2 linked regions of the Nothobranchius furzeri genome follow. Each later gene encodes a partner of the first gene's protein in a complex. Links are inferred from orthologs where the notes say so. Each region holds a gene or a part of one and is shown on either strand. Other genes may lie near its edges.

The links. The genes of interacting proteins can lie anywhere in the genome.
Region 2: tonsl (region 1) and mms22l share a complex: the UniProt entries of both Homo sapiens proteins name them as parts of the MMS22L-TONSL complex. The link is inferred for Nothobranchius furzeri from reciprocal best matches to the Homo sapiens genes TONSL and MMS22L.

The regions. Positions count from the first base shown.
Region 1 is NC_091758.1:29,051,043-29,055,226, reverse strand, and holds the start of tonsl (tonsoku-like protein), read left to right. Parts: upstream 1-1,356; 5' UTR 1,357-1,793; coding exon 1,794-1,818; intron 1,819-1,896; coding exon 1,897-1,992; intron 1,993-2,204; coding exon 2,205-2,347; intron 2,348-2,431; coding exon 2,432-2,615; intron 2,616-2,696; coding exon 2,697-2,826; intron 2,827-2,923; coding exon 2,924-3,095; intron 3,096-3,163; coding exon 3,164-3,278; intron 3,279-3,360; coding exon 3,361-3,512; intron 3,513-3,597; coding exon 3,598-3,750; intron 3,751-3,952; coding exon 3,953-4,078; intron 4,079-4,173; coding exon 4,174-4,184. UniProt on the Homo sapiens protein: Component of the MMS22L-TONSL complex, a complex that promotes homologous recombination-mediated repair of double-strand breaks (DSBs) at stalled or collapsed replication forks.
Region 2 is NC_091745.1:51,994,556-51,998,206, reverse strand, and holds part of mms22l (protein MMS22-like), read left to right. Parts: intron 1-2,766; coding exon 2,767-2,854; intron 2,855-2,955; coding exon 2,956-3,133; intron 3,134-3,343; coding exon 3,344-3,437; intron 3,438-3,550; coding exon 3,551-3,651. UniProt on the Homo sapiens protein: Component of the MMS22L-TONSL complex, a complex that promotes homologous recombination-mediated repair of double-strand breaks (DSBs) at stalled or collapsed replication forks.

The DNA of each region.
Region 1 (4,184 bases):
ATGAGCTCCACTCAGAAGCTGGGGTTATTATTTTTATCTATTTTCCTTGACACACAACTTAAACCTTGTATTTCCTTGTATTGTCGAAGAAAGACTGATATGCTTGCAGGATGTTTATCACGCTGTTGCATAGTCAACATCATAACAAGAATAGGTCCCCACCTGTCGCCGTGGTAGAAGTCAGTTGTCCAGTAATCGGAAGGTTGCAGGTTCGATCCCGGCTCCGGACAGGGAATTCTGCTGTTGTGTCCTTGGGCAAGACACTTAACCCATCTTGCCTGCTGGTGGTGTTCAGAGGGACCGGTGGCGCCTGTGCTCGGCAGCCTCGCCTCTATCAGTGTGCCCCAAGGCAGCTGTGGCTACATCGTAGCTCATCACCATCAGTGTGTGAATGTGTGTGTGAATGGATGAATGATACATTGTGGTGTAAAGCGCTTTGGAGTCCTTACTCTGAAAGGCGCTACACAAGCGCGGGTCATTTATTTACCACAAAAATTGGGTCCTTTGGTGATTCACTTGCAACTTTATAAATCCAGTTTCCTCTTCTCATTTTTAATATTAATTTTCTCAGGAGGACGAAAATATAGTTTTTTAAAGCTTCATTATAATAAGTAGACTAAAATATTGAGTTCTAAACGAATGAAAATATAAAACGTGCAATTTCAGACGCGGGGGAGCAACTCCCCATCATAACTTCCAGAGAATTGTTCTAGCATTGGCCAGGAGAGGGCGCGAAATCCCCGTTCTTTCTAGGCAACAACACATGCTGAATGGCGGTAGCCTGGCCTGCCAGACTCCTCTGTACAGAGAAAGGGTCTGGGAACTCTCCTATTCAAATAACCCCACCCCGTGAGAATTCCAACCGAGCCAATCAGCATCCAGGCTAGAATAGTGGCCCTTGAGGAACCCGGGTGCAACACAACCGTGGGTTTTGAAAGCTGGAATGGTCATTTTTATTGTGTTTTTAGCTACTAAAATGAAATCACTTTTATAATGAGTTTCCCTGTTGCCAACACCAAAATTAAAAATTTAAAGAATTTAGAAAAAGTATTTCTAACTTTTGCAAATTTATAAATCCAGTTTCCTCGTCTCTTTCTACGATTCATCATTCTCCTGCTTAATATTCATATTCCCAAGAGGATGAAAAGAAATACAGTTTTTAAAAGCTTAATTAAAACAAGGAGGTGAAAATATTCTGTTCTAAATAGATGAAAAGGTCAAAATTGCAGTATCTAATTTCAGACACTGGAGGTCAGTCACTCCCCAACCGCCCTTCATCACCACAGACACTGCCACTGAGCAACACCCATTCTTATTTTGCTTTGTAGCCCTACGTAATAACTGTCAGGCGGTTAAAAGCCTAATTGCAGGGAGAAAAAATCAATTATATTTTTACAATTGTTAAATAATATCAGACTATTGAGTTGAAGGGGCGTACTTTGATTGTTGACCGGCGTTCTCATAGTTTGAACCTGGAGTTTATGCCTGACAGACATTACAGCGGGCAGATAAATATTATCGCTTCATTGAGTGACGTTTTCCTGGCGGGGCAATGCGAAACCAGAAACTTGTAAACGCGAAGCTAAACATGAGTGTTTACGCAGATGATTGATACATGTGAATGTTTTCTTATTGCATACAGTCAGAATCTGAGGCTAATTCTAAACGTAGGCAAACGTATGACGTTGCTAAACAGTTATGAGGCAAATGTCCTGTTAACCGCCAACAGGCAGAGCTAAGCTAACGTTTAGCGCGCTGTTTGTCATTCACTACCAGCTGTCAGTTAAACCAATATGAGCTCTTCACGAGAAATCAAACGTAAGTGTTGCTCTATTTACAGCTGATCTGTTGGTTCCAAAAGGCTAAGATGGTTGTTTTGACTGCTCTTCTCTGCAGAGCTGCTGAAGGCAAAAAGCAAAGCCCAGACCAGCAATCACTTAAAGGAGGAAGCCAACATCTGCAACCAGCTAGGAGAGCTGTTGTCCAGGACTGGTATGAACCTCCACAGTTTTATATTTTTTATTATTATCACAAATGTGCTACCATCGCTTTACATCTTTATGTGACACTCTCTCCCACACACTTTCTGTTGCATATTCTCTGCGCCTTTGCAGCCTTAGATTTTATTATTTATCAATTAAATTTGCTCCCTATTTGTGCTGATGCATATAAAGGTTGTTGTGTTTGATCTGTGCATACCTCAGGTGACTACAAGGCAGCCATCAGGGAACATCAACAGGAGCTAGCTCTCTCTGAGGCTCTAAAAGATGTGATCGGACGCGCTGTGGCCCATCGGAAGATAGGAGAGTGCTATGCAGAGATGGGAAACATCGAGGCTGCTTTGAAAGTAAGCAGACTTGAATGCAAAAATGTTTTTTTAATGCATACCTAAAAGGAGTGTCTTGCTTTTTTTTTTTTTTTTGGTTTCCAGCATCAGCATCATCACCTGGACCTGGCTCGCTCTGTCAGAGATCATGCTGAAGAGCAAAGAGCTCTGGCTACCATTGGTCGTACCTACCTGTTCTGTTATGAATCTGACCAATCGAAGAACAGTTTAAAGCTGGCAGAAGATGCTTTCAGGAAGAGCTTGGCCATTGTGGATGAGCGTCTAGGTGGTGTGTATCGATTGTTTGGGTAACTTGGAATAATCGCGCTCTGGTTAGGTGGTTACGTATGAAGGTTCTTTCAACGTTTAGGGATGGTGTCCGAGCGAGAGATCAGTGAGATGAAGGCTCGGCTTTTCCTCAACCTTGGTCTGGTGTGCGATCATCTAGGGGAGCCCAAACGCTGCAGCGAGTTCATCCGACGTAGCGTCTTCATTGCAGAGTAAGAAGAACATCTCAAAACGATCTCCTAATCGTGGTCATAATACGCTTTAATTCATTTGCCCTGCACAAAGTCTTATGATTTCGTCTTGGAACAGGAGGAGCCAGCTGCTAGAGGATCTCTACCGGGCCAACTTTAACTTGGGCAACATCTACTTCCGCAACGGCCAACACTCCAACTCTGTCCGCTGTTTGGAGCAGGCCAAAGAGTGTTCCCGGAAGATGAAAGACAAGTTTGCTGAGAGTGAATGCTTTCACTGCATTGGCAAGGTAGGAGTACCCTTCTACTGTTCGTCACTGCATTTTCACAGGCTCTGATGACTCAGACTCACATCCAGGTGCAGCTGTCTCTGGGGGATTTTGTAGCTGCCAGACGATCTCTAAAGAAGGCTCTACTGTTGGGTTCTCAACAACCAGCAGACAAGCAGGCAGTGAAGAAAGCTTTTAAATATGGTGAGAGGGTTTTTGTTTGTTGGTTTTTGATCGTATTTCCTCACAGATGCATTAACAACATGACGTGTGTGTAATACCGTAGCTGATCGAGGCTGTAGGTTAGAGGAAGAGCTGGGGGAAGATCAGGAGAAGAGTTTCTGCTCCCATCGGGCTGTGGAGCTGTCGGAGCAGCTAGGGGATCTTTACTGTAAGGTTGGCTGCTACAGCAAAGCTCTGGAGGCTTACCAGGCTCAGGTGAGACACCTAAGAGAAAACAAAATGCTCCATTTTAACTTTAGCTCTTGAAATTAGCTGGATTGTAATTTCTCCTGTGAATTAGCTGAAAGGTGCTGAGATGATGGCGAAACCGGCGCGGGAGCTGGCTGTGATCCACGTGTCCCTGGCTGCTACCTGCACAGACCTGAGACAACACGACAAGGCCGTGGAGCACTACAGGAAGGAGCTGGCTTTACGACAGGGCAGCTCTACAGAGGTGCACCTTCACCCCATAACACCAAGATAGATAACTTATTACTGTGGAAGAAACGACAGATTTCCTCTGTTGGACTGAATTAACTAACATATTTGCAGGCATGGTTGTTAAAAATCTACTCTTATTAAATCACAGAGCTTGTTTTAACCAACAGCTAATGCATGCGCATAACTACTGGTGTGTGTGTGTGTGTGTGCGTCAGGAGTGTAGCACATGGCTGAACATCGCAGCAGCTCAGGAGGAGAGTGGCTGCATATCTGAGGACATAGAAGGCAGCTACAGATCAGCTTCACGCTGTGCAGAGGCGTCCGGGGAGGTCCGACTGCAGGTGAGGAAATGTGACATAAAGTATTTAAATAGAAGCAGCATTTTTATCACAGCTTTACTACAGGTCTATGTAAAAGTTCATCTTACGTCCCACAGAAACGCACGCT
Region 2 (3,651 bases), on another chromosome or scaffold:
GCCTCTCCATTCTGGACAATATCTGTCCTGTCAGAACCAGATCAGTTCCTGCAGTGAACCCTACTCCCTGGTTTAATGACAGCCTTCACAGCCTAAAGCGCCAATGCAGAAAAATTGAGCGCTTGGGGAAGAAAACCCATCTCCACGTCCATCTGCTGCACCTAAAGGATCTTCTGACATCCTTTAACTCTGCATTCAGAGATGCCAGGGTTTCCTATTTCTCCAACCTGGTGTCCCAGAGCAAAGGGAACCCCAAGGTGCTGTTTAACACCATCAGCAGCATCGTCTCTCTCTCCTGCCTCTCCTACAACCTCCATCCACTCTGTTGCAGACGGTGAGAACTTTCTGTCTTTCTTTGTGGACAAAGTCAATAAGGTTAGATCTAGCATCTCTCCTTCAGCCTTATCGCTGCCTCTCCCGACTCAACCAGGCCCATCATCCTAGATAGCTTTGCTCCTGTTTCTTTGCCTGAGTTAACCAAACTAGTTAACTCTATGAAGACCTCTGCATGCCCCCTCGACATCTTACCCTCATCTTTGTTTAAAAGTGCTTTTCAGTCCATCTGTCCCAGCGAGCTTTCTATAATTAATGCTTCTCTGGTTTCTGGTCAGGTCCCTGCTTACTTTAATAATGCTGTAATCCACCCGCTTCTTAAAAAACCGAGTCTCGACCCCTCTCTCCATTGCAGCTTCAGACCCATCTCTAAACTTCTGTTCATCTCCAAGATCTTGGAAAAGGTTGTGGCTAAACGACTCACAGCTGCTCTTGATGAACATAACATCTATGATTGCTTACAGTCAGGTTTTCGTAGAGCTCATTCTACTGAAACAGCTCTTCTTAGGGTCTCTAATGACCTTCTGACTCACAGTGATGCAGGGGACTGTTCTGTTCTGGTCCTGCTGGACCTGACTGCAGCCTTTGACACTGTTGACCATCACCTGCTATTGGAGAGGCTGAGAGACTGGGTAGGCCTATCAGGAACTGCTCTGGAGTGGTTCTCCTCTTATCTTTCTGAGCGCTCCTTTTCTGTGGCCATCTCCAAGTTTAGGTCCTCCACCACCTCTCTTACCCATGGTGTCCCACAAGGTTCTGTGCTGGGGCCTCTGCTCTTCCTCCTCTATCTGCTTCCTCTTCAGCACATCCTGAGCTCCTTCAAAGGAATCTCCTACCATCTTTATGCAGATGACATCCAACTGTACATCTCCTTTAAGCCCCATGAGATGTCTAAGCTGCAGCTGTTACACACCTGCTTAGACTCTATCAAAACCTGGATGGCTGGGAGCTTTCTTCAGCTGGATGAAGATAAGACTGAGATCCTCATCTGTGCCCCAGACAAGCTGGTTCCCAAAGTCAGAGACTCTTGGTCAGCTTGCTTCCCACACCAAACCTTCCGTCAGGAATCTTGACGTGACCTTTGACCCAGCTCTCACCCTGGATTCTCATGTCAGTTCTCTTGTTCGCTCTTCCTTCTTCCATCTCAGGAACATCGCTAAGCTGAGTCCCATTCTGTCCTGCTTTGAACTTGAGACAGTTATCCACACCTTCATCTCCTCACGCTTAGACTACTGTAACTCTCTTTTCACGTGTCTGAGCAGAGCCTCCCTGAACCGTCTACAGGTGGTTCAGAATGCCTGTGCTCAGCTTCTGACCAAGTCCTCCAAACACACCCACATCACCCCGCTTCTCCTCCAGCTTCACTGGCTGCCAGTCAACTTCAGGGTTCATTTCAAGATCCTGGTTCTGGTCTATAGGGCCTTACATGGACAAGCACCATCTTACATTGGTGATCTTCTTAGTCCCTACACCCCCAGCAGGTCCCTGAGGTCCAGTGATCAAAGCCTACTGGTTGTGCAGCACCAGGCTAAAGACCAAAGGTGACAGATCATTTGCTGCTGTGGCCCCCAGACTCTGGAACTCTCTCCCCCTGAGCCTGAGATCAGTGGACTCAGTGGTCTCCTTTAAAAAGCAGCTGAAGACTCACTTGTTCAAGCTGGCTTTTGTATGACCTTCTTCACCACTCTCTCTTTATTCTGCTCTCCCCACCTATTCCACCTTCCTCAGGATCCACTGATTTCCCTCTTTTCTACTCTCTCTTTCTTTACATTTTGTTTTTTAATCACAGTTGTCTATTTTTTGCTCATTTGAAATATATTTTTAACCATTTTCTAAATTATTTTTTATATTTTTACATTTTTTATTTTTATGAAGCACCTCAGGATTTTTATCTTGAGAGGTGCTATAGAAATGATATTTTCTTCCTCTAAAACATCTGGTTACAAAATGTTTTTTTCTGACTTGGCTAACTCTGGGGAATCTAACAACACACACAAGTTTAGGGACAGAAGATCCCTTAAGAATATTAAAATAATAAAAATGCAGCAATAAATAAAACGTAATACTTGTGCTTTGTAACAAAGTAACACTCTGAGGAAGTTAACTTGGTTATTCACCCTGGACCGGAAATAATTGCACATAAGAAACGTAAATAAGAATAAATAAATAAAAAGTTCCAAAACAATAATTCGTGTTCATAGTTCAAAGGAGTGGAGCCACACAACATGAGTTCATAAAGCTGGCGCCATCTGCTGGATAGGTAGCGCAATATCGGCCGTCTTTTTGGCCGATAGCCGATACTGTTAATGCCCCCAATATCGGCCGATATATCGGTCGGGCTCTAGTTTGTTTATTTGGTGCTCAATATTTATCGTGAATTGACTAAAATATTTCATTTGTAAGGATTTAATATAAAGTGTTTTTGTTGCCCAGGGCAAGCAGGCAGTCTTCACTATGAGGCTGAGGACCTTCGACAACAGTGTGTTTGGTTTCTGCAGTACATCAAAGTCTTCTTGCACAGGTATCCACAAATGTAATGTTCACAACATCAACAACAAAATTTCAGTGTGTTTGCAGATGTTTCTGTATTTCTGTATTTATTTGGATGTCTGGTCTGTGTAGATTTCTGGAACCTTCAGTGTCTCTGGATGCAGCTCACCCACACCCTTATGAGGAGCTGGAGAGTCAGTTCCCCTCTGCTCTTCTGGAGGAACTGTTTAGCATCACCCTCCTCACAGGACGACTCAAGGACCTGCCTGCCAGTGTTCAAAGCTCCTTCTGCATACAGAACCATGGGAGGGTACAGCCGAATGTTGTTTTTCCTGCATGAAACAGACTCCAGCTCAGACGGTGTATAGAGGGCGTGTTGCATAGGAACCAGCTTGCTTTAAAGTGGGAAGAGCGGGGGGTGTAGCAGAGCTCGGAGAACCGTATCAAATGAGAGGAAAGCCGAAGCCTCTGTAGATTTTTCTGTCATTGAACTCTAACTTCTCGCTCGTTCCTCCCACAGATTCTTCCACCCTCTTGGCATTTGTTGCACCTTCATCTTGACGTACACTGGTCGGTTCTGGAGATCTTGCACACACTTGGTCAGAAGATGCGAGGTTCGTGGACAGATCCCTCAGACAGAAAATAAGAACTAGCCGTGTTGACTCGCACCATATGGTATATTGTGTGTGTGTGTTTTATATTGAGTCATTATTGCAACTACCTCCAGGACAGGTGGTTTACGCCCACCAGTTTGTTAACCTGACCGGGGAGAACCTGACGGATACCAGCCTGTTTGAGGAGCACCTGCGTGCTCTGCTGTGTGACCTC